3 linked regions of the Lytechinus pictus genome follow. The protein of the gene in region 2 purifies or fractionates together with the protein of the main gene of each other region. This does not show direct contact. Links are inferred from orthologs where the notes say so. Each region holds a gene or a part of one and is shown on either strand. Other genes may lie near its edges. The genes, in order: succinate dehydrogenase assembly factor 2-B, mitochondrial-like; succinate dehydrogenase [ubiquinone] flavoprotein subunit, mitochondrial-like; succinate--CoA ligase [GDP-forming] subunit beta, mitochondrial-like.

Region 1 (7,974 bases), on a different chromosome or scaffold from region 2:
CTCCATTTAAAAAAGGCATTTTTTCCTACTGGGATTTTTTTATGTAGGGGGTTAAGTGCCCCTGCCGCCCCCCGGTTCCGCCGCCCCTGCTGCTAATATAGCCTCGGGTTATAATTTTTATCTAAGTTCAAACTGGTATTAACAAAAATATGTTGGTATGACTGCATTTTATAACGATGGTTTTCTTTAAAATATATATTTTTTACCATTTCGATCCATCACATTTTTGCATTTTTTTGTCCGTCGATATGCCCAGCGCTGAGAGGTCATGCCAAAACGTGATTTTGCATGAAGTACATTCTCTGAACCATCATCGGAACTTCGGAATCACACAGAGATGGAAGACCCCTTCCCCCAAATAGTTCCGCCTAGCTGTATGTCCTCGAATATATATATATATATTTAATAAGACATCAGAAATGCGAAACACAAATTCACGAGTAATGCAGTTTTTGCAATAAAATTTGTTTTTTATTATATATATATCACCATGATAAGTACGTAATTTTATTATCCGAGCACATGCAGCGGACCGAGGAGGAGTGGGTGGAGGGAGAGGCACCTAGGAGACGTCATACTTGTTCTTGTTCAGTATACTACCATAACAAGTTGAAAAGAAAAATGCAAAGAGAAACTTGGAGGGGGATCGATGTTACATGGTTATAACATGGTTATAACGGGTCGTGTGGTCCAGTGGTTAGAGCATTGGACTCATAATCGCAAGGTTGTGAGTTCGAATCCCAACTCTGCCATTGTCTCCACGTTTGATAAAAAGGCCCGAGAGTGATATCTGTCGTCTATAACGTCAGCCACTATGACTGATTAACCTAGACGTAAAACGTTTCATAGGTAATTGGTTATATACCAGCTTGGCGTTTACCAGCAAAATGCTGTCCTGCCGAGTTCCTATACGGGAGTTACCACAAACAGAAACAGAAACAGAAACATACAGACCTACGCACCGGTATCATAGGCGGATCCAGGAGGCCGACGTTACGCCCCCCCCCCCCCCCCGATATTGGCGGCGCAAAGTAATATGAACGAAAGCAGAGGGGGGGAATATAAGAGGAAGAATGAATAAAAAAAGGTGAGGGGAATTCAGACTTGGGGAGGGGTGGGAGCCAATCATGTCACTACACAAGTATAAAAACAATTTAGCCCGCGCTTTGTGTTCGCATTGCCTGTTCGATGGAACATATATTCATCTATACCAATTCATTTATTGATTTATTCATTCAGTCATGGTTAAACAGGTTCACAAGTTCAGAGTTATTAGTATATAAAATCATAGTAACAAGTACAATGACAAGGTATAATTCATATCGAAATAGTATGAGACAGAAAGAAATATTAACTGATCAATGTAATACAAAACACGGAAACATTGTTGAAGGGCTTATAGTAAAACGAACAAGGGAACTAAATAGGCCTTTACTTATTCAAATTTTTGAGCACCTTATCCGTCAGTGTGCATCTTAATTGTTTAATGATCATATTGCTCAGATCAATTTTCAGGACACAATACACAGTCCGAAAATAATACCTCACGCTCGCATTTTTTATAGGGTTTAGTACTGTTACGACTATAGATTCCAACAAAAACTAGCTTTGAGCTGCCGATCGATCGGGAAAAATGTGGATGAAAATATTGTTCACCCCGGCCCCGTTATTAGTGAAAGCTGGATCCGCCCCAGAATATATTGTTTAAAAAAAAAAGGCATAGGCCACGCGGTATTTGTCATTTTTTTTGTGATAAATACATTGAGGCAGTATATTGACAAATAATCACTGGAAGAGAAAGAGCATCTTATAGGCCTATATAACGCACAAAGCAAAATAATGAAGAATGGCGGCAAAGCTAGTTCAATACAAAATGATTTCCTTTTCCTTTAAAAAAAATGTTACAACACGTTATAATAATGAACAAATCAAAATACAGAACCTGAAGAAATTGATAACGATTCAGTGAATCGGAATCGAAACAAAAATGCGTATGTAAATATAATTATAAAATAGAAATAAAAAACGGGAAAAAAAATAAGAATAGCCCTTTCACAAGCAACCATAATTCTCCCTCCCTTCATACCCTGGACAAGTAAAGAAAAAAAAATACAGCTAGAGAAACGAAGCAAAGATGAAAAGCAAGGAAAGGGAAGGAAGCCGTCTCTCGGTACCTGGTACTCTGCCCAGATATCAAGATGTACGTAGGACCTATTCTCCGCGATTTGAAAAACAACGTGCATAACATCACAATTATTATGATGGTCATTTAAAAAAGTTCCTTGGTTGTTTCCAAGTTATTTAATTTGCCGTCGAGGGACTGCGCGAATGCACACGCTCCTACAGGATATGAATGAAAAAGTCGCAAACAGACTCCGCCGTTCAATCCGATACTGTACTGTATAGCCGGTATACAGATCGGCACGTGAGACAAGCGCAGAGGCGATGGATATGAATATTCATGAGCAGGTATTGATGTCATTTGGTCTCAAGGTGGCGCTCTTCATTTTTATATCAATTTCAAAATCTGCATCAAAAGAAAGCTCACTTGGCAAAATTTCTCTTCTTTATATATTTTTTTGAGAATAAAAACAGTTCTTTTGGCCAATGCAATACATTTTATGGACTCAGAACTTGTTTATGAGTATTTTGAAAAGCGAAGAGTGAAATCTAAAAGAAAGTTTTGAAATAAACCAATGTCACAATTTACCTTTAATCTTATATTACAAATCAAAAACTTTATAAAAAAAACGGAATTAAGTCCTACATGTATGCCTATGTGAGCCTTCCACCTACTGAGAAAAATTGGTAAATGAATTATGATGGGGGGCCCCATGTCTGTGCACCTAAAATTTTACTTTAAGATTGAACCTGAATTTCTTTTTATTCCACAAAAAAAATCAGTTGATAATGTTCCTAATATTCTTATAAGTGTGCCAAAAATCTCACAAAAATTGGGGAGAAAAATATTTGATTTTCTTGGAAAAAACCTTGGCTGGTCATTAATAGATTGAACAAAAAAGTGGTGGGAAAGAGTTCCTCTTGCGACAGCCACCCAAAATAACAAGATTGTCGAGACTTCCGGTTCAATCACTTTTTTTTTTAAAGGTGTTTTTACCTTAGCTGGGACTCGAACTCACATTGTTGTAATTGCAGTCAAGATTCTTCCCGCTATGCTAGCAAGAAGCGCTGATACCCGAAGGGGTTTTCTAGCGATCATAAGACAATACTTCGACTAGTCTATTAGGCTTTCAGACCCTTTACTGACCAACTTAACCGATGTCTATGGACAATTACATGCACTCGATTCTCCTCGAAAATTTGACGGAATAGAGCCTTATTTTGGTATGTATGGTGAGACTACCACATATCGACCACCTCTTTTTAAACCGACCACCTTGCGCGCGTTAAAATTATTGCGTATTACAAACGATACGTGCGGGAGAGTAGGCGCAGTGTCCATAGAAAAGGTAAGAATCGATTTTACGAGAAAAAAAAGGAGCAACAAGAAGTAAAAATTTAGTAGAATTAATCAAAATTGTATTGACCAGACCCAAACCCCGCTGAAAAACCAAGAAATCTGATAGGAAATGGCTCTAGAACTAATATCCGTCGTCAATCGTCGAATCATGTGCCGGAGCTCGCAGTGGAAGTAGTGAGACGATCATTTAGCATGTTGACATCATAGAACTGATTTGGAAGAGTAAAAATATTTCGCCACCGCGACAAGAATCGGTCGTAAACTTAATGTACCGCGGGTGGTCGGTTTCAAAAGACGGGTGCAAATGAGCAAATGTAAAATCGTTGTATTCGTTGGTCGTCGATATATACGCGGATTGAATCGGAGTCGCCGAGCGAAACATGGGAATCTGATCTGCTCAATTTTCTGCACAAATGAGACGAAAACTGGGTAAAATTGATGAATATTTTCGCAGATACGATGCTTAGAAGATTAGGTGGTCGATAAGGGGTAGTTCCAACCATACTTCCACTCTCCCATCATACATGTTCTATATCAAGGCTAGATATATTATTTTGAACCTTCTCCATATTTTTATTTTCAATATTCGGTGGCTGTGCCTGTGGCAAAAGGAACTCTTCCCAGGCTGTCACATGAAATGCCCGAAATTCATTAATATTTTTCCACCATTTTGAAGTTGAGTCGGATTTTTCAAAAAGAACAGCGGATTTTTTCACTTTTAATTTATATTTCATGAATGAGTCGCCACTCGCCAGTCTGTAATTTACCATCTTTTTCACCCTTTGGCTTTGCTTTGGCTTTACTTTAGTTTAGGCTTCAAGACTTGACACCTGCTAGACTGAAATTATTTCTGCTAAGTCACCTGCCGAACTTCAATCAGCAGAAACTTACTAATACTTAGTAATAGTAATTACTAACCTCGCAATACGTGTGAGTGGGCCGGGCCGAACGAAACGGGCGAAACAAGAGCGAGATCTCGAACTGAATTTTCCAACACAAAAACACACACTCGGGACTACACATAATAAGTCGATCAAGTTTTTTTAGTCCATAAACAATCACCTCATTTCGATCGAATGCGACACCGAAACACCACACGCTCTGCACCCGCCAATCATATTACTCCAAAATATATATTTAAATGAAAATTGAACACCAAAGGACCAAAAAAATCATTTAAAAAGATATATAAAATACCTGCTCAAGTCATTCAACGAAAAAATATTGTTTTCAGCTGTTGCTATGTTATTTTCGAAGAGGTAAAAATTAAGTCACAAATTACTCATTTAAGATTTCAAATCTATTCATTTTCATTATCAAAATAATAAATAACATGAAAATAAATATTTTACCAGTGACAAATGTGATTTAAATATATTTTTTCCGAGTTTAATTTCTACTTATATAAACAATTATAAAACTTTGTTTTATCCCAGAATGCAATTCCGTAAAAATGGCATCTTATGTAAGTCGTCTGCTGCGACCATCTCGTCGAATTCTTTCAAATTTTGAGAGAAAATCTTTCGTAAGTTTTAATTTTTTACTCATTTCATTAATATTTTTCACTCAATCAAAGTTGTAGTGACTTTCCAAACACTTTTTTTACCTTTCTAAAAGTGAATTGAAGTTTTATTTGGTCAGGAAAATGACTACGGTCCCATGTGTCCGAAATGGTGTCGCCATAACTCTACCTCTCTAACAACAATGAATGAAGCACCAGACTTTGATCATGTCCCCACCCTTTTATTTATTATGAATCATAATTAGATTTATTTCATGTTTTAAATATAGATCTAGATGTCGACTATGTGTGCATGTTAAGCCTCTCTTGTAGTTGTACACTTTGTTTTTTCCGTTCTCGGACTGTCTACTTGGTGGATACACATTTTGAATAAATATATTTTCATCTGTTCATAGATATAGAGAATAATACAAAAGAATAATAAGTGAGGATATAACATCATCTGTATTGTTAAGTCAGCAAAATATCAGGATTGGTACATCAATAATTTGCTCATCGAATATTCATGAAGACGACATGTCACATGCATAGAAATATTTCACCAAAGACAAAGTAATGCAAAGCTTTTTAAAATTAAAATGTCACAATAACATAAATTTGTTAGCTAGGCCTCTATCTTTTCTGATTTTAATGAAATTTCCATTGTTTTGTTTAATTGTCTTGTTTAATTGTCAGATTTTACTGTATCTGTTCAAATCAATAATTTCAGCTTAGAATATCTCTTTAAACCACTATAATTAACCTTTCATTAATTTAGAAGTTTTTTGCTCTTTTACTTTTGATATTTTGTGTAGTAAGTATTTTTCCATTAGATCTGCCAAGTAATGTAAATAATTTGTGCCAGATAGATACATGGGCTTGATCAGTCAGTTCTAAGTATCTTTTATTTCCTTTTATTCGTATCAGGTATTAAGAGAGACGGCATCCATGAGTACATATCAGTCTCCTTCAGGTGAACCCAGTATTCCAGAGTGGAAGCAGCCACAGAATGAAACCATTGAGCTGAAAAGAGCAAGGCTCATTTATCAGAGTCGTAAAAGAGGAATGTTGGAAAATGGAATTATTCTAAGGTACTTTTGACATGCATCACCATTTTAAAGAGAAATTCCAGTAGTTGTAGTAAACACTGATTTCATGAGAAAGTCTGTAAAACCAGGCTTAATTGTCAGTATATCATCGAGGATCTAGATCTGGTACAGTTACATAAACTGAACTTTGTGAAATCTTGAAATCTACGCTGAAAAATGTTCAGACTGAACTTCCCCAACACAGATAAGCGCACGTGGGACTGTGTATAATTATTGCTTTGAGCGTCGGGCCCGACGCTCTACCCGAATCCTGTGCTTATTTGCTGATTTCTCAGCAATTACACAATTTCTTCTAGAATCCTTTGGCACATGCGTTTCATTTATACAAACAGACACTTTGGTGGTCATTTCATTGGATTCTGTACGAACTCATTTTGATATCGTTACCAAAACTAGCATTTACCTTTAAATGGATGTCTCATTTAGGTCATTCCAATATTCACATGTGATGCATTTAAACAAATGATGTTTGTACATTGTAAGGAAATAGTATAAAAATTGGTGATTGATATTTCAACCACATCTTATTTCTAAGCCCCCTCACAGTCATCGAAGACTTTTTCTTATAGAATAAATCCGCGCTGAGCAATAATTATTCTGTTTGGCAACAAACAACTTCTCATGCTTCATTTTCATTTTTGAAATATTCTTATTCAATTACAGTAAATCAAATACAGTAATCTGTATTCCTAATCCCATCTCTTCTGCTCCATGTCCAAATCTCTCTTTCCTCTCTTCCCCTATTTTCTGCCTCTGTTTCTTCCTCTCACTCATCCTTTCTTAACTCAGCATACATTTATCCCCTGTCTATTGAATCCCTACTCAGTTTTTTTTCTATAAGATATTTTTGATAAAGACATCAGTCCAAATGTTGATCCCGAGCTAGCTGCCATGTTCATATTTGACCACTGAATATATGAATATATACTGTCTGATATGAGTATTGTGTATTGTTTAATGTATAGTGAAATGATCATGTGTCACTAATCTTTAATCTCACTTTGTTTACACATTACAGCACATTTGCTGGTCGTTATCTAGAGGGATTTGATGAAGAGCAACTTGACCAGTATGATAACCTGATCAATAAGCCTGGCAATGATTGGGATCTCTTCTATTGGGTAGTTGGTAAGTTAACACATCAACTCCTGAATTATATTATTCCCATGACCTTTGCATAGGGACCATGCATACAACAGACCTATAGCTTGATGTGTTATCCAATGCTTTACCAGATTAGCAACAACAACCAAAAAAAAAAGTTAGGGACAAGCACCAATATTACTTAAAACATATTTGAAGGAAATATCTGAAAGAAAATTGTCATATTATATTCAGAAATGAAAACCCCCAAATATTCTACTAGAAATAATGATTCTATTGGTGTTGAAGTCTGGTTTACATGTGATCAATCCTTTTTTTAATATTTTTTTTAATAGTTTTAAAACTTGTTTCGACATAGAAGTTGTAGAATTTATGTCAAACAACCTTTATGCTACTATTTAAGCAGGGAATATTCTTAGTTTACTTTTAACCATAGATGACTCACTATCATTTTTATAAGTCATTCTCTGACAAAAATAAGCTGCAAAAGAGCTTCTATTGGGTTCAATACAAAATATAGTTTGAAATCAAAAGAATTAAAAAAAAACAGCCTCCATAATAATAAGCCTTTTAGTTTTTCAGGAATTGGTTTCCACTTTTGGTTTTGGCTTTCCCTGGCCACTTTTCTGTTCTTTTGTATCAATTTATGAAAATCATTAAAAAAGATAACATATTAATGTACTGAAATTAAATTTATACATGTAGATACATTGCATTTCAAGAAATGATTTATAGTCAATTAAAAATAAATAGTGTAGTTATAATTTGTATTATTGTAT
Region 2 (7,570 bases):
TTCGTTTATTTGTTTATGTTTCAAAACTTGTACAAATGTTGGTTTGTACTACTTTGCATTTTTGTTTCCAGCACAGGGGCCGCGGAACAGGGGGGGGGGGCTGGGGGGCCCCCACTTTTTTCAAAACCGTGTACCAAAATGTAAAAATGACCATATGATTGTGATTTTTATCATGGTCAGCCCCCCCCCCCCCCACTTTTGGCTCACCCCCCCCCCCCACTTTGAAAACCGTTCCGCGGCGCCTGCAGCAAGAATATTAACAGCTGCCAATGATGTTCTAATAAATTCATTCAAAGGTGCATGTGTTCCCCCCCCCTTTTTTTGAGAGAGAGTCACAGCAATTATTATTCATTTTAATGGGAATATGTCGTTCATAAATAAGTGGGTATTTTTTTTTCTTGCTTGTCCAATTTTATGTGAGACAAAATTACCTTCATTTTTTTAGTGAAGCTTTTTTTTTTGGCTTGTCAAATTTTCCTAGGGAAAATGTGACTCCCCTTTTGGAAAATCTTGGACCCGTCCCAACTAGAGGGAATTTTTATGCCTAAGTAAATCTTGAAAAACAACATTTTGGACACTGATTGCAGTCAATGTTCCGTGACATTACACTGAGTAATATAATTATTCATCCCTATTTCATGGAAGCGTTGTTGGTTGGTTGGTTTTAGAGATGATGGCGCTATTCCATCGATATCGATGATTTACGCCAGGCTAAATAAATTTAGTTGGTAGGAAATTCTTTTCGGGAAGCAGGAGAGAAGTAAAGGTAAATATCAATTAATTAATCATGTTTTGATTTTGTTAAATATCTTATTTACAAAGACCGAGAATAAAAAAAAACCCTCCTTCATTGAATGAAATAAAAAATAGTATTAGGGGGATCAAAGAGTTACAATCCATTTCTCTAAATGGGAATACTTAAACATTAGACCATGCACTAACTGGAGCCCAGAGCCAGTTCTCCTCCGGATAGGGGATGGGGTGTTTTAGGGAGGATGGGGGGGGGGTAGGGTCCAGGGCTGAGTTTGTTGTTGGGATTGAATAAATCTGATTGAAGAGGCCGAGGTTATGTTTTTTTTTAATATGCTGATGGCTTCAATTCGTTTAGGATTTATTAATATTTGAACATTTTTGCTCGCCTGCTCGCTTCAACCGCTTTCAACTTTTTTTGGGGGGCAGAAATTTTGCCTATATGCCATGCTTGGCCCCTCAAATTTTTGAAATAGCCCATTTGGATATTGAAGATTGTGTTCAAGTTTACCAAATATCATTAAGAATGAAAACATTCTTGTTGGCTAAAGAAAATAATACTAGGAAAATCCTAATGGAATAGAAATCAACCTTGTTATCACTCTTTAGAGTTTAGTTACATGTATTTTCAAAGTATGAAAATTGTTGTCAAAATTGCAGTCAGATCTGTCAAAATTATTCCTGTCATCAAATCACTTTAATCTTTATCATTATCATTATTACCATCATTATTATTAATATTGTCATAATCATTCATGACACGTTACCAATAAATAATGTTATTTTTCATCACTGCTGTTTTCTTGGTGATAATTACAATTATTGATGGCACTATAGCTGCTGTATAGTACACTTACTACTGCTACTGCTGACTGGTACTATTGACTAGGATAGTGTCATTAGATATACAGAACGATTGAAACATGTATAATTACTTATATAAAAGCAATGCAAAAGTATAAAATACAAAATGCTTTGAAAAAGCCTTGAAATTTCAAGGCTCAAAGTCATCAAGGCCAAATAAGCTTTGAAAAGTAGGCCTTAAAGGGATGGTCCAGGCCGAAAGTATTTATAGCTTAATAAATAGAGTCAAATTCACTAAGCAAAATGCCGAAAATTTCATCAAAATCGGATAACAAATGACAAAGTTATTGAATTTTAAAGTTTAGCAATATTTTCTGAAAACAGTCGTCATGAATATTCATTAGGTGGGCTGATGATGTCACATCCCCACTTGTTCTTTTGTATTTTATTATACGAAATTAGGTTTATTCACATTTTTTCCTCCAAGAACTAGAAAAATTGGATTGACAACTGATTTAGTGCATTAGATATTTATTGCTGCAACTTATTTCATTATAAGGGAGACATATTATTCGCACAAGTATGAAATATTGAAAAAAATATGATTTCATGCAATAACATAAGAAAACGGAAAGTGGAGATGTGACATCATTAGCCCACCTAATGAATATTCATGAAGACTGTTTTCACAAAATATTGCTAAATTTTAAACTTCAATAACTTTATTACTTGTGAGGATCAGTACAAAATATCCTGAAATACTAATAGCATGATTAGCAAAGAGGGATATGAAATCAAAAGATATGACTCGATGGCACGGGCAATAATGGCGGGAAAATGGGGGAAAAGAGGCAAAAAGAAACTGGAAATGAGGGTAGAGCTAAAAGCTAGATTGGAAAACCAGAATATGAAGAAAATGGACAAGAAAAAAAATTATTATAATAACACGATCGGGCTGCCGAGGATTGAAAAATATGAAGAACGGGAAGAAAGGTGGATGGCGTTTGTTATAAGCTTGCTAAATTTTAGGCGATAATGGTCGCAATCAGGACCCAAAAATCCTTAGCCAAGGGCTAGTTATATCCTTTGTATCATTGTATGTTATGTCCTAACCTAAGTAAAGCCATTCGCTGGCAAGATTTACCGTAAAAAGCCTGTTTTTGTTTGGCTAAATTTCCAAATCTACTATCACATGATTAGAATTTCATTTCAAAATCATTTAAAAAGGCAAAAAAAAATCTGGCTCGCTTCGCTCGCTGGCGACTTTTACAAATATTTCCACATTAGCTACTTGTTCTGCCTCAAACTATTTCGTAAATGTTGTCATAAGCATCCTACTAAAGCTGCAAAGTGCTCCAAAACAGCTGTTTCGTTCTTTAAAACATTCTCATCCATTCACTGTTAGCTCCCAACATTTTTTTTAATCTTTCATGTCATTATATAAAATTATAAATTCGCTCGCGCTACGCGCTCGCATGTAACTGTTGACTGAGATAAGCAAATTATCTGTTCACATGGGGCTTAAAAATCCAATGTTCAAGTCAATATGCTTCTCGCGATTAGAGTTTTCATTATTCCTTTTATAGCGAGATACACATCCTGCGTATTCATAATTTTCATAAATCAAAACTTTATTTTCAGCTCCCGCTACGCGCTCGCATCAATTGTTTATAAATTAGGTAGCCATCCAGTTAATGACTACAAAAAGTGCTTAGAAAGTCCAGTCATCATCTCAGGATATCAAAAAATTTCAGCTCGCTCTTCGCGCTCGCATTATTTCATCTGGTGAGATATCACCTTCATGACCCAGTGCAAACAGCTCGCTTCAAGTCCCTTTTCCTGTTATAGGGTCTACATGTGTACATAAAAAAAATAGGTCGCGCTTCTTGCTCGATTTTAAGAAATAGGCAAAATATTTGAGTATTGCCCCCCCCCCCCCCCACACACACAAATGTTCTTTTGCCTCCCCCGAGTTAAAATTCCTTGTAATGCCATTACCCCGAACCCGATCCGCATAGCACTGGCCCCAAAAGTTATGCAACCGAGAACAAATAAGAAAAGATGAAAAATATAAAGGAAAGGAAAGGAAGATGTAAGATATGATGTTATTTTCTGAATACCTTGTCAAAATCAATCTCAAAGTTAGATTTTCATAAAAAGGTTATTTTGTTCACGCTCGCTTGGGACTTTTTTGAAATTTTTGCTCCGCGCGCCATGCTGTGCCCTCTCTTTTTTTTTGTACTTATCACCATGGACGGAAATCTGTCCCCAAAGGTAGGGGGACCAGGGCTGCAAAATTTGATAAGCAAAAAAAAAAAAAAAAAAAAAAGTTTTTCACCCAAAATGTAAGGTCATTTAAACAAAAATATTTGACAAGCAAAAAAAAAGGTTTTCACCCAAAATATATACAAGGTCATTTAGTCCAAATACATGTATTATTTCGATTGTGAAGAATGACGTATTTCTAACCATCATAACAGAACAAAAATAGTAGGGCCAGACATTCGATACTGTGTCCCCCTACTATTTTTGGTAGGGGGACGCGTCCCCCCTGGGATTTCCGCCCATGCTTATCACGCATTGAGCTTCACCCTAATGCTCGGGCCCCATTCTTCTGAACCAATAAGTCTATTGCGATCCTAACTCTAACCCTGTGCAAATGTCGCAGGAACCTACGTCGCACATCCTTCCCATCCTTGCATATTGTGCACACAAAAAAACGGGACAAAAAACCCGGAAAAAAACCCAATAAAAGGGCCTCCTTCCCCGCCCCAATTCCTCAAGCATTATTATGTAACGAGAATTGTGACAAGTTTCGTAAGTGGCTTTCGCTGACTCCACCAGTATCACCGAGTTTATACGCAAAACGAACACCCGCTAGTGTAGCGCTAGCGCTGAACGAACACAAGCGAAATCCGATATGCAGGATATTTCATAATAGAAATTTGAGCCGAGCAAATTGGGAAGCCGGGACGAAGACGACAGGAAAAGATTAGAAACCTATTTAAATATCTGTGGAAAATAGATTTGAGTGATTGCAGTGTTGTCTCCTTCAATAAATGACAATGGCAAGTCAGCTTGGAGTGAGATTATGGTCAGCTGCAAAGAAAATCGACATATTCCCAAAACTTGTAAGTACCGCGGTACGATCTACGCTACCTCGAGCGAAGTTCGTGCAGGCTCCACTCCACTTCACTACCGCTACACTACGCTTCACCTACCCGAACTTCGAGACCATGAACTCGATCGGATATTCCTAGTGACAAAAGGTGGGATTTTATGGGAAGAAAATACAAAATTCATGCAACATTACGATCTTTAAAAACAAGTGCAACTAATATTCTTACTTTACACAAAGTTTCACTTCTTTTCCATGCTTCTATCACTTTTTATCAGTCTCAAAATTGATGATTTAGAGCCAACATGAAGTTCCTCACACGTATAATATTAATGCGCTGCCGACTTCAAAACATCGCATGCGGGAGGTACCGGGTCTGGTCCGAGCTCGGACCCTCGCGCGCATGCGATGTTCTGAAATCGGCAGTGAATTATTACGTGTGAGGAACTTCATGTTGGCTTTAAATCATCAATTTTGAGACTGATAGAAGCATTGAAAAGAAGTGAAACTTTGTGTAAAGTAAAAATATTAGTTTTACTTGTTTTTAAAGATCGTGATGTTGCATGAATTTTGTATTTTCTCCCCATAAAATCCCACCTTTTGTCACTCGGAATATCTGATCGAGTTCATGGTCTCGAAGTTCGGGTAGGTGGAGCGTAGTGAAGTGGAGTGGAGCCTGCACGAACTTCGCTCGAGGTAGATCTACGCGATCAACACGTACGTACTCACTGACACTGCCACTGCTACAGTGCTGGCAACGGCTCGACCGTGGCCATGTCGATGCGCTCAGGCCAGTGGCCGAATTCTGAAAATGACGTATCTTCAGAGTCAGTGGTGGACCGTGACCCAAAGCCAAGGGGACAAATGATTGGAGGGGCACTGACACTGTATTCTTTGTGAACAATGCTGCATGCTGTACCCCTCCAATCAGTATAGAGCCGGAGGCGCACGGCCAATATGGGAGACTGTCTCCCAAGTCAAGAGAGGGATTATCTCCAATATCAGAGACTTTTGTAAATAATTTGGGTATCCAATTTCAGAGACAGTCTCCAGTTTGGGAGACCAATTTCCTTTGTTTACATTTGCTGCAAAAGGTTTACCTCGGCGGCAAATAAAACTGTGATTGGCAGATTCCTCATGAAAAATTACCCCTTTTCACCATCTACTTAAAAAAATTAACCATCTACTTTTGTTTTGATAAGGATTTTTGTTGTCATCCACACACAAAACAAATGGGCTTCTGACCCAAGTGAGACAAAATTTTGGGTGGAAAAAATAACGCTTTTGACTTTTGTTGGTGTTTCTTTTGTTCTTTTGCAAAGCAAGTCTCCAATATGGGAGATTGTCTCCCCTATTGGAGAGAGTCTCCCATATTGGCCGTGCGCCTCTACTGTTGTGCCAATGGCAATGCTTTGTGATTTTGTCTCCTCCGGGTTAGCCAGGCGGCTTCTAGAGAGTAAAAATCATTTACTAACGTAAGGTTACTCATACGAAGCCAGGCCTTCTATCTCATAGACCCACACAGAGCCAGCCAAAACCTGAAACTTTCACCCCCGAGATTTCTACTTTCCTTCTAAAAGATCTAGCTCTAAATCATGTACATGTCGCGTAACGTTGGGGAAGTACAATAAGAAACAAGATGGCGGCGTAAACATCGGGCAAGTCTCTTCCGTCTTTTCACAATATTTTTTCATTTTTTTGATGAATTCTTGTTTTAAAAATAACAACGAGAGCGTAGAAATGTCGGAAATTAAGTTTTATCCCATGTACATGTTTTAGAGCTAGATCTTTTAGAAGGAAAGTAGAAATCTCGGGGGTGAAAGTTTCAGGTTTTGGCTGGCTCTGTGTGGGTCTATGAGATAGAAGGCCTGGCTTCGTATGAGAGTAACCTTACGTTAATAAATGATTTTTACTCTCTAGAAGCCGCCTGGCTACTCCGGGTAACGGTCCGCCACTGTCATGACTGTTCAGAGTTATAATAAAATCTAGCCTTGAGTTGAGGACTCCATGTCTGATATTTTTTAATAATAGTATTTTGACATATACTTCTTCAGACATGGAGCCTTGAACCGCCTGCCATCATAGTCATGATAGAGACACATGTAAACAAAGTGGATTTCCCTAGGAAATCCATCTTTTAAGATAAAAATCACGTAAATATTTTTGATTTTATTTATTTTTAAACTTTTAACCCCTTCATATGCATTAGGCCTTTGAAGGTTCATGCCGGCATTGCTGTGAGGATCCATGTCTATATGTGACTGGGGCAGTCAAATATATTCCTGTACACACGCGTGACCAAGGAATTTCCAAACACCCCCTAAACAAGTTTTTCTCTGTGTCTGTGTGCAAAATGACCCCCTAAACAAGTTTTTCGCAGGCTAAATACATTTTGGCCCCTAAACAAGTGTCGCCAAAATATGACCTCAGGGAAAAAATTACCCTAAACACGTTTGGCTAGTCTTTAAAAGAAAAAAGCTTTGGGGGAAAAAACATACCCTAAATACGTTTGACCCCGCGATTGACCAGTCTTTCAAAACCACCCTTTTTCTTGAATATCTGTGTTTTCGATACCCTTAACCAGGGCTCGACACTAGCGCCGGTCCGACGGTCCCAGACCGGTAAAAATCACTGTCGGACCAGTAGATTTTCAGAAATAGCAAGATTTACTGGTCCGACATAAACAGTAATAAAAACTATTGTTGGGCCAGTAACTTTTTCAGAAATGGTCAAATTCGCTAGTCCAACATAAACATGAAAAATATTCCATGACTCAAATTGCGAACCATTTTCCTCCCGTTAAATTCTGGCATTCACACACAGAACACACACAGAATGAATCGCATGCAATTTTTGATAGGGTAACATACAGTGTACACGTGGCTAGCCAGCCACACA
Region 3 (7,138 bases), on a different chromosome or scaffold from region 2:
TACAGGCCTAAACCTGTATTGGAAGTTGAACAGGCATAAAGTATAAATGTTTAGCTATATAGCTGATGCTTTGATCCCGCAACCAAATAATGTTATCATAAACTAGTAGATGTTATATCAGTCATGTCAGTGGCGTAACAAGTGAAAATAATTGAGGGTACTACGATATGGCGTATCAGGCAAAATTTATAAAATATATAGTTGCAAGCAAGCGACATAAGCATAATTTTGACTTTTGGTTACAAAAATCCAATTGAACAATTTCGCAAGATTCTCTTACCTTTTCCTTTTTTTTCTTGTTCGTGAATTGGGGGCATGCAAGACCCCACCCCCCCCCCCCCATACAGCACCACTCTTTGTTGTCACTGTCTAAAATTTGATTTAAACTTTGAGAATTTGAATTTCTTATCTAAGTAATCCAAAGGGATAAGACAAAAATATTTGCAGATTACTTATTTCAAAGTATTTTTATACCTATAACTCCCCAACTCTGCTCTAGCTGCACTGCACGTTGCCTAACGGCCTTCCACCAAAGGGCCAGGCCGACTCGCCCCGTGAGCAAGTGACCGCGTTCGCGTAAGTTCACCCGAAGCCATGACTGAATTCTGACCATAAACATCACCTAACTAATCACTCTCTGACAATATTTCAAAGTATCTTTTATTACAGTCGATCCTTTGGGCCATTAAACGATAATATTTCCAATGTTATCATGACAAACAATTTTAATGAGATAGTGGCATTGTAGAAAAAACAAATTTATAAGCACGAAATGGCACCAGATAAATCATCAAACATACAGCGCAGCGTTCGGGACTGGTGAGTGGTACGGCTCTCTTGGAGTTTTCGCCCCGACGAATTCGGCGAAAACGCTACCATTGCGCCGTGCGAATGTTCAATCTGCGGCTCTCAATCAGAGACTTGAATGTCTCTTTTTGCATTATCGAAAATGTATCATAGACTTTGTTTGATTTGTTTACAAGTAAGTTGCATATCCGTCGTGATAATTAGGAAAATCCATGATGTCTTCTTCTAATTCTGTAAAAATTACCTCTTCAAAGTGCCTGTGTCAGAAAATTGCCGGAAATCGTAAAAACTTGCCTAAAATGTCTCTTTTTGAAAGTTCATCCATGGTCTGGAAAAAAATGTTATAATTTATGTAGACGTATACCGTAAACAAATACATCCTCGATCACTGAAATGAAGTGTTTGCTAAGCTTTTATATCTCAGACCGCGTTACCATGGCAACTTGGGAAAACCTTCATTTTTTACTAATAAAATTCTGGTTTTAAGGGTCATTTTAGAGACATAAAACTAACCATATTTTGAAGTATTGGGTTTAAATTTCAGGAACAACTGCAGAATACCCCGCACGACGAGAGCATGGATGTTTGAATCGACCAACGACCTACGATGTGATGAAAGGATGTTGGAACAAAGCCGAGTTGTGACTAAAATTCGAACTTGTTTACGTCAAGCCAACGATTGATTACGCGATTTTTGCATAGGGCATGCCGCCAACGAGCCAACGATGCCAACGTTGTGAGATTGGCATGCTACCAACGAGCCAACGATGCCAACGTTTTGACTTGCGTTGGCTTGCTACCAACGAGCCAACGATGCCAACGATGTGAGTTTGGCATGCTGTCAACGAGCCAACGTTGTGAGTTTGGCATGCTGCCAACGAGCCAACGATGCCAACGTTGTGAGTTGCATTGGCTTGCTGCCAACAACGTTGGCAGCACGTTGTGAGTTTGGCATGCTACCAACGAGCCAACGATGCCAATGTTGTAAGATTGGCATGCTACCAACGAGCCAACGATGCCAACGTTGTGAGTTTGGCATGCTGCCAACGAGCCAACGATGCCAATGTTGTAAGATTGGCATGCTACCAACGAGCCAACGATGCCAACGTTGTGAGTTTGGCATGCTACCAACGAGCCAACGATGCCAACGTTGTGAGTTTGACATGCTACCAACGAGCCGACGATGCCAACGATGTGAGTTTGGCCTGCTGCCAACGAACCAACGATGCCAACGTTGTAAGTTTGGCATGCTGCCATCGAGCCAACGATGCCAACGATGTGAGTTTGGCATGCTACCAACGAGCCAACGATGCCAACGATGTGAGTTTGGCCTGCTGCCAACGAGCCAACGATGCCACGTTGTGACTTTGGCATGCTACCAACGAGCCAACGATGCCAACGTTGTGACTTTGGCATGCTACCAACGAGCCAACGATGCCAACGTTGTGAATTTGGCATGCTACTAACCCTAACCCTAACCCTAACCCTAACCCTAACCCTATGCACATAGTAGGAACATCGTAGGTCGTTGGCTCGCCAACGGTATGCGCGCGATCGCGAGAGTACAAGCATGCGCGCGTGTATTCGTATGGCTCGGAAGTACAGTACCGGTACGGGTCGTATCGTAAAAACTGACAAGACAACGAATCTTCAGCCCGTTCAGGATCGATCACGTCGAGATTGATTCTGATTCTTCACATCGTAGGTCGTTGGCTCGCCAACGTTGAGGTAATGAAATGTGCGGGGTATTCTGCAGTTAAGCCAATATTCACATAAAACTGAATTATCTATGTTTATACTTTCGTATATGAATATTCATATTTCTTGTAGAATCTTAGTTTTTGATTGGTCAATGTTTCAGTCATGGATAATAACTGAGCGTTAAAAAATCTGAAAATGCGCATTTTATCGGCAACCAACAAGCAAGATGGCGGAACACATTAAGTTGGCGCTATGCACGTACGTGGGCCCAGCGCATAAAGTAAAGAGTTAAGAAAGGCCTAGGCTACATAGTTCCCTAGGCATGGGACTGTAATAAAACAATTTTGGAGAACCAGCTAGATCTAACTTTACAATACATATAATTCATTATACTAACAATATATAACTAACTTTTTTTTTATAGATATCAGAAAAATATTTTGGTTAATAGAGTAAACTTACATTTCGCTGGAGGACTGTCTGAAAAGACTGGCGACAGCCTGATATTAACCTTGCAACATGGGCCATTACGAAGGGTGAAAAGGGTGGATCTAAATGGAAAAACCACGAACACAAATTAATTTTAAAATGATGGCGCTATTGCTATTGCTCGAGCTGTCTTTTTCACTGCACTTTCTTGAGCCGGGGCCTTGAGCTAGCTAGGAGGAGGTGTTTTTTTATAGTTTTTTTTAGGGGGTGGGGGTGGTAACTCTCGTATACGAAGCCAGGCTAGAGGACACAGGGACATGTCCCCCATGTTGATAGGCAGATAAAAACAACAATGAAAAAAATATAATAACCGGGTCGGATAAAAATAAAAAAGAGAAGAAGATAATAAGATATAAATATAATGATCCATAATTATGTTGACTGGCCACTATCCACAACTTAGATATTGATGTGTGTTCGAATTTAGGAGATACTTTCTGTCATGCGTGTTATATATATTTTTTTATTGACAAAAAAAAATACGATTGGTTTTGGTTTATTGCTTGCTTGCTTGCTTGATTGGTTTGATTGATTGATTGATTGATTGATTGATTTAATTTGCCAACGGCCATGGTCTGTGAAAAAAAATGATAATGGAAGTAAGCTGAGGAATAATTCACGATAGCTCTGAACTTTTTACAATCATCATAATCATTTTTGTGCTCCCTCTTTATCATCATAGGCATACTTTTTGTCAAATGATTCATCCTAAAATGATGATGTTCAACTAATGGGGGATGATAACATAGGACAACTCACCCGTGACATAAGTTGGGGGATATATCCCCCCCCCCGCGATCTACATCCATGCCCCGAAGCTTATTTCGAGAAGGGCCCTCGACATGTAAGAAAAAATCCATAACAAGGCACTCTGAAGGAATACAAAGTCAATAATACAGGCGTGAAGCGTATAGCTGACATTAAATTTATATATAGGATTGACCTGAAAACTGAACATTTATTGTTAAGCGCTTTTTGATATTGTGAATACAATGCATATGCCACCAAAATGAATAGGCCGACCTAAAGTGACTATTTATATCCTTGAACAGAGTACTTATCCCACTATAGACAAAAATTACCAACGCGAAGAGCGAGCTGTTTCTTTTAACCAACATTCAGACCTATGAACTGCACTATTTATAGGACAAGTCCACCCAAGAAAAATATTAATGTTGATTTGAATCAATAGAACAAAATCTAACAACCATAATGTTGAAAAGTTCATCAAAACCGGATGTGAAAAAAGTTATATGACATTTTAAAGTTTTGCTCATTTTTCACATAATAGTTATATGCACAACTTAGTGACGTGCAAATGAGAGATATGATGATGCCCCTCACTCACTGTTGTTTTTGTTTGAATTATACTATAATTCATTTTTTTGTGTACAAATTTGACAATAAGGCCAACTTGATTGAACCATAATGTTGCCCACGTTTCAGTACAATTCTTCACAAACCAGCTTCCTTTATTCATGGCTCAAACATGTCAAGTTGCCAAGAAACTGAAGAAAGGTTCCAAAACAATATAATTCCACATATTCTGGGGAAAATATGCTCACATTACCATGCTGGATAACATTAAAGAACATTTCATATTTCACAATAAAATAAGGAAATAGTGAGTGCTATAGGTGACGTCATCAATCCCCTCGTTTTGACAGACGAAATTACGCGAAACTTAAAAATTTCATAACTTTCTTATTTTACCTCCGATTTTGATGAAACTTTCAGTGTTAAGCTTGTTGGATTTTTCTCTATTTATTTAAATCAACTTTTTATTGGGGTTGACTTGTTGTTTTGTAATTGTAACACTTGAAATATTATAGTAGCGTGGTGATTGTTCAGTGTTACAAGAATGATGAGACAAATCAATAGTCTGCCACACAATGATTACCATGATTACAGTTCATTAGTATTTTATATTCCAAAGATGATAAATACCAATCATAAGATGTATATACCATAGGAAATATAGCTGGTTATAAAAAGGCTGTTATAATATTAGGTACTCCCCCAACAAAGGCCATATGGTAACCCCTAAAGAGGGATGGCGAGGGAGACCAAGCACGCATGCAGTGTCCTCTCGTCAAGAGACGGAGAAGAGAAGTCCTCTTTTAATTATTTTGGGGGTACATCTCTTAGTTTTGCACCATTAGGGGGGAGGAGTTAAACAATGTATAAACTAATCAGGAAAGAAGGATGGAGCATAACAAAAATGAAAGGGTATTTGCACCTGAAGTCAGGGAGCAATTATCTGGGAAGGAGGTTGGATGGAGGATAAAGTATATTCTCATTATGGTATCTTAGGAGGAATTATAAACACAATGCGGGACATAATGCAAGGATAAGGCCACCACATCAATCTGTGCAAACAGGTGATGGGTGTGTGGTCATTAATTTTGCTCTAAACAAAAGGAGTTGTGTCAATGGACAAAAGAGCATTGAACTTACTTTCGACCAATTTACTATCTGGAGTTTGTGAGTTTACACAAACGTCCAAGCATGTTTAAAAGTATAATCAGTTTTACAAAAATATGGAATGCAGGGTGTTATAATAATCATGAACATGATTTGTAACTGAATGAACCTTACTATAGCTCGATCGAAAATAATCACTGCTTCACCATGTTATCCTCATGAATGCGAATGCATTGGCAAGATTGCTATATATGCTAATTTGCTTCCTCTTCAGATTTTCTTCCTCTTCTTCAATTTCCTTTTTTTTTCTGTTCCCCCCTCCCCCCCCCCCCCCCGTCTCCCCTCGTTTTGTGCAGCCTGTAATAGCGGACCGCTATATATACAGCGTCTCCCTGATCAGCCGAGATGTCTTATAATTCCAATCCCTTAAAGGACAGGTCCATCCAAACAAAAAGTTGATTTGAATAAAAAGAGAAAATGCCAACAAACATAACACTGAAAATTTCATCAAAATCGGATGTAAAATAAGAAAGTTATGACATTTTAAAGTTTCGCTTAAATTCACAAAATAGTTATATGCACATCCCGGTTGGTATGCAAATGAGGAGACTGATGACATCATCCACTCACTATTTCTTTTGTATTTTATTATATGAAATATGAAATATTATAATTTTCTCTTCATTGTCAAGTGAAAAAAAAAACAATAATTCCTCCCTGAACAGGGACCTGGGAAGCGGGGGTGTATGGGGGTGCTGCGTGTATTATTTTCCATAGGCAGCACCCCCACGAAATCGGGTTCCCCCCTGTATTTTTTAAAATATGTTATAATGTACATAATTATCACTTCCGACAATCGCAAATCATTTACATAGTCTTTCACATATTCCAATAACATCCCTCCTATAACGCGACTCAATCAAGCTCCAGCGGGGCAGCACTCCAAAACAGACGGAGTCGCGCGCAATACGTGATAACCATACACACTCTTCGATATCAGGGAAGGACATGGGGGTGGTTGGACTCGAATCAAGTGAGCCCGCGCCCGACCGCCCGTGTATTGTATACAAAAATTAAAAGTCAGATAATATAAATCAAATTTCAGTCTTTTTCGCCCTGCCCCATGGCCCTGGGGGCTGGGAAGCGGGGGTGCTGGGGGTGAAGCAACTCCAAAATTTTAGGGTGCTGCGTGTGTTATTTTCCATAGACAGCGCACCTCCTGGAAATCTAGTGGTAGGTATGATAAATGACAGAAATGTAATGAAAATGAACGACGTTTTGTAGAACCCCCCCCCCCCCCCACTTCAGAATTTTCCGACACATTACTTGAAATAGTGTTTAAATTCACCCTCTTTCAGATCGGAATATCTAATATTTTCTGCTCGCGCTTCGCGCTCGCATTATTGATTTTTATAATAAAAAAAGTGTATTTAGAATGCCCAGATACTAGGTCGAACTCTAAACACGCGCAGGCATGTTTATTCAGATACGCAGCTTGATTGGGGGGGGGGGGTACTCCGGGCTGAAAATATTTATATCAAATACATTTTATCAAAAATGAATAAATTTTATCAAAATCTGATAACCATTAGTTAAATTATTTAATTCTAAAGTTTAGCAATATTTTATGAAAATGGTGATATGCATGTCGTCATAAATATTTCATAGGTGGGCTGATGCTGTGACATTCCCAATATCCTGTTTCTTGTGAAATCAA

What was found.
Region 1: the proteins of succinate dehydrogenase [ubiquinone] flavoprotein subunit, mitochondrial-like (region 2) and succinate dehydrogenase assembly factor 2-B, mitochondrial-like purify together in Homo sapiens (co-immunoprecipitation; 3 studies listed by BioGRID and IntAct, counting the BioPlex papers as one, with this or other methods). This does not show direct contact. The link is inferred for Lytechinus pictus from reciprocal best matches to the Homo sapiens genes SDHA and SDHAF2.
Region 3: the proteins of succinate dehydrogenase [ubiquinone] flavoprotein subunit, mitochondrial-like (region 2) and succinate--CoA ligase [GDP-forming] subunit beta, mitochondrial-like fractionate together in Homo sapiens (co-fractionation; 3 studies listed by BioGRID, with this or other methods). This does not show direct contact. The link is inferred for Lytechinus pictus from reciprocal best matches to the Homo sapiens genes SDHA and SUCLG2.

What each region holds. Positions count from the first base shown.
Region 1 is NC_087260.1:13,420,919-13,428,892, forward strand, and holds the start of succinate dehydrogenase assembly factor 2-B, mitochondrial-like, read left to right. Parts: upstream 1-4,911; 5' UTR 4,912-4,934; coding exon 4,935-5,006; intron 5,007-5,909; coding exon 5,910-6,073; intron 6,074-7,109; coding exon 7,110-7,219; intron 7,220-7,974.
Region 2 is NC_087245.1:35,499,870-35,507,439, reverse strand, and holds the start of succinate dehydrogenase [ubiquinone] flavoprotein subunit, mitochondrial-like, read left to right. Parts: upstream 1-4,460; 5' UTR 4,461-4,613; coding exon 4,614-4,685; intron 4,686-7,570. UniProt on the Homo sapiens protein: Flavoprotein (FP) subunit of succinate dehydrogenase (SDH) that is involved in complex II of the mitochondrial electron transport chain and is responsible for transferring electrons from succinate to ubiquinone (coenzyme Q).
Region 3 is NC_087247.1:36,259,974-36,267,111, reverse strand, and holds the start of succinate--CoA ligase [GDP-forming] subunit beta, mitochondrial-like, read right to left. Parts: upstream 3,099-7,138; 5' UTR 3,037-3,098; coding exon 2,971-3,036; intron 1-2,970. UniProt on the Homo sapiens protein: GTP-specific succinyl-CoA synthetase functions in the citric acid cycle (TCA), coupling the hydrolysis of succinyl-CoA to the synthesis of GTP and thus represents the only step of substrate-level phosphorylation in the TCA.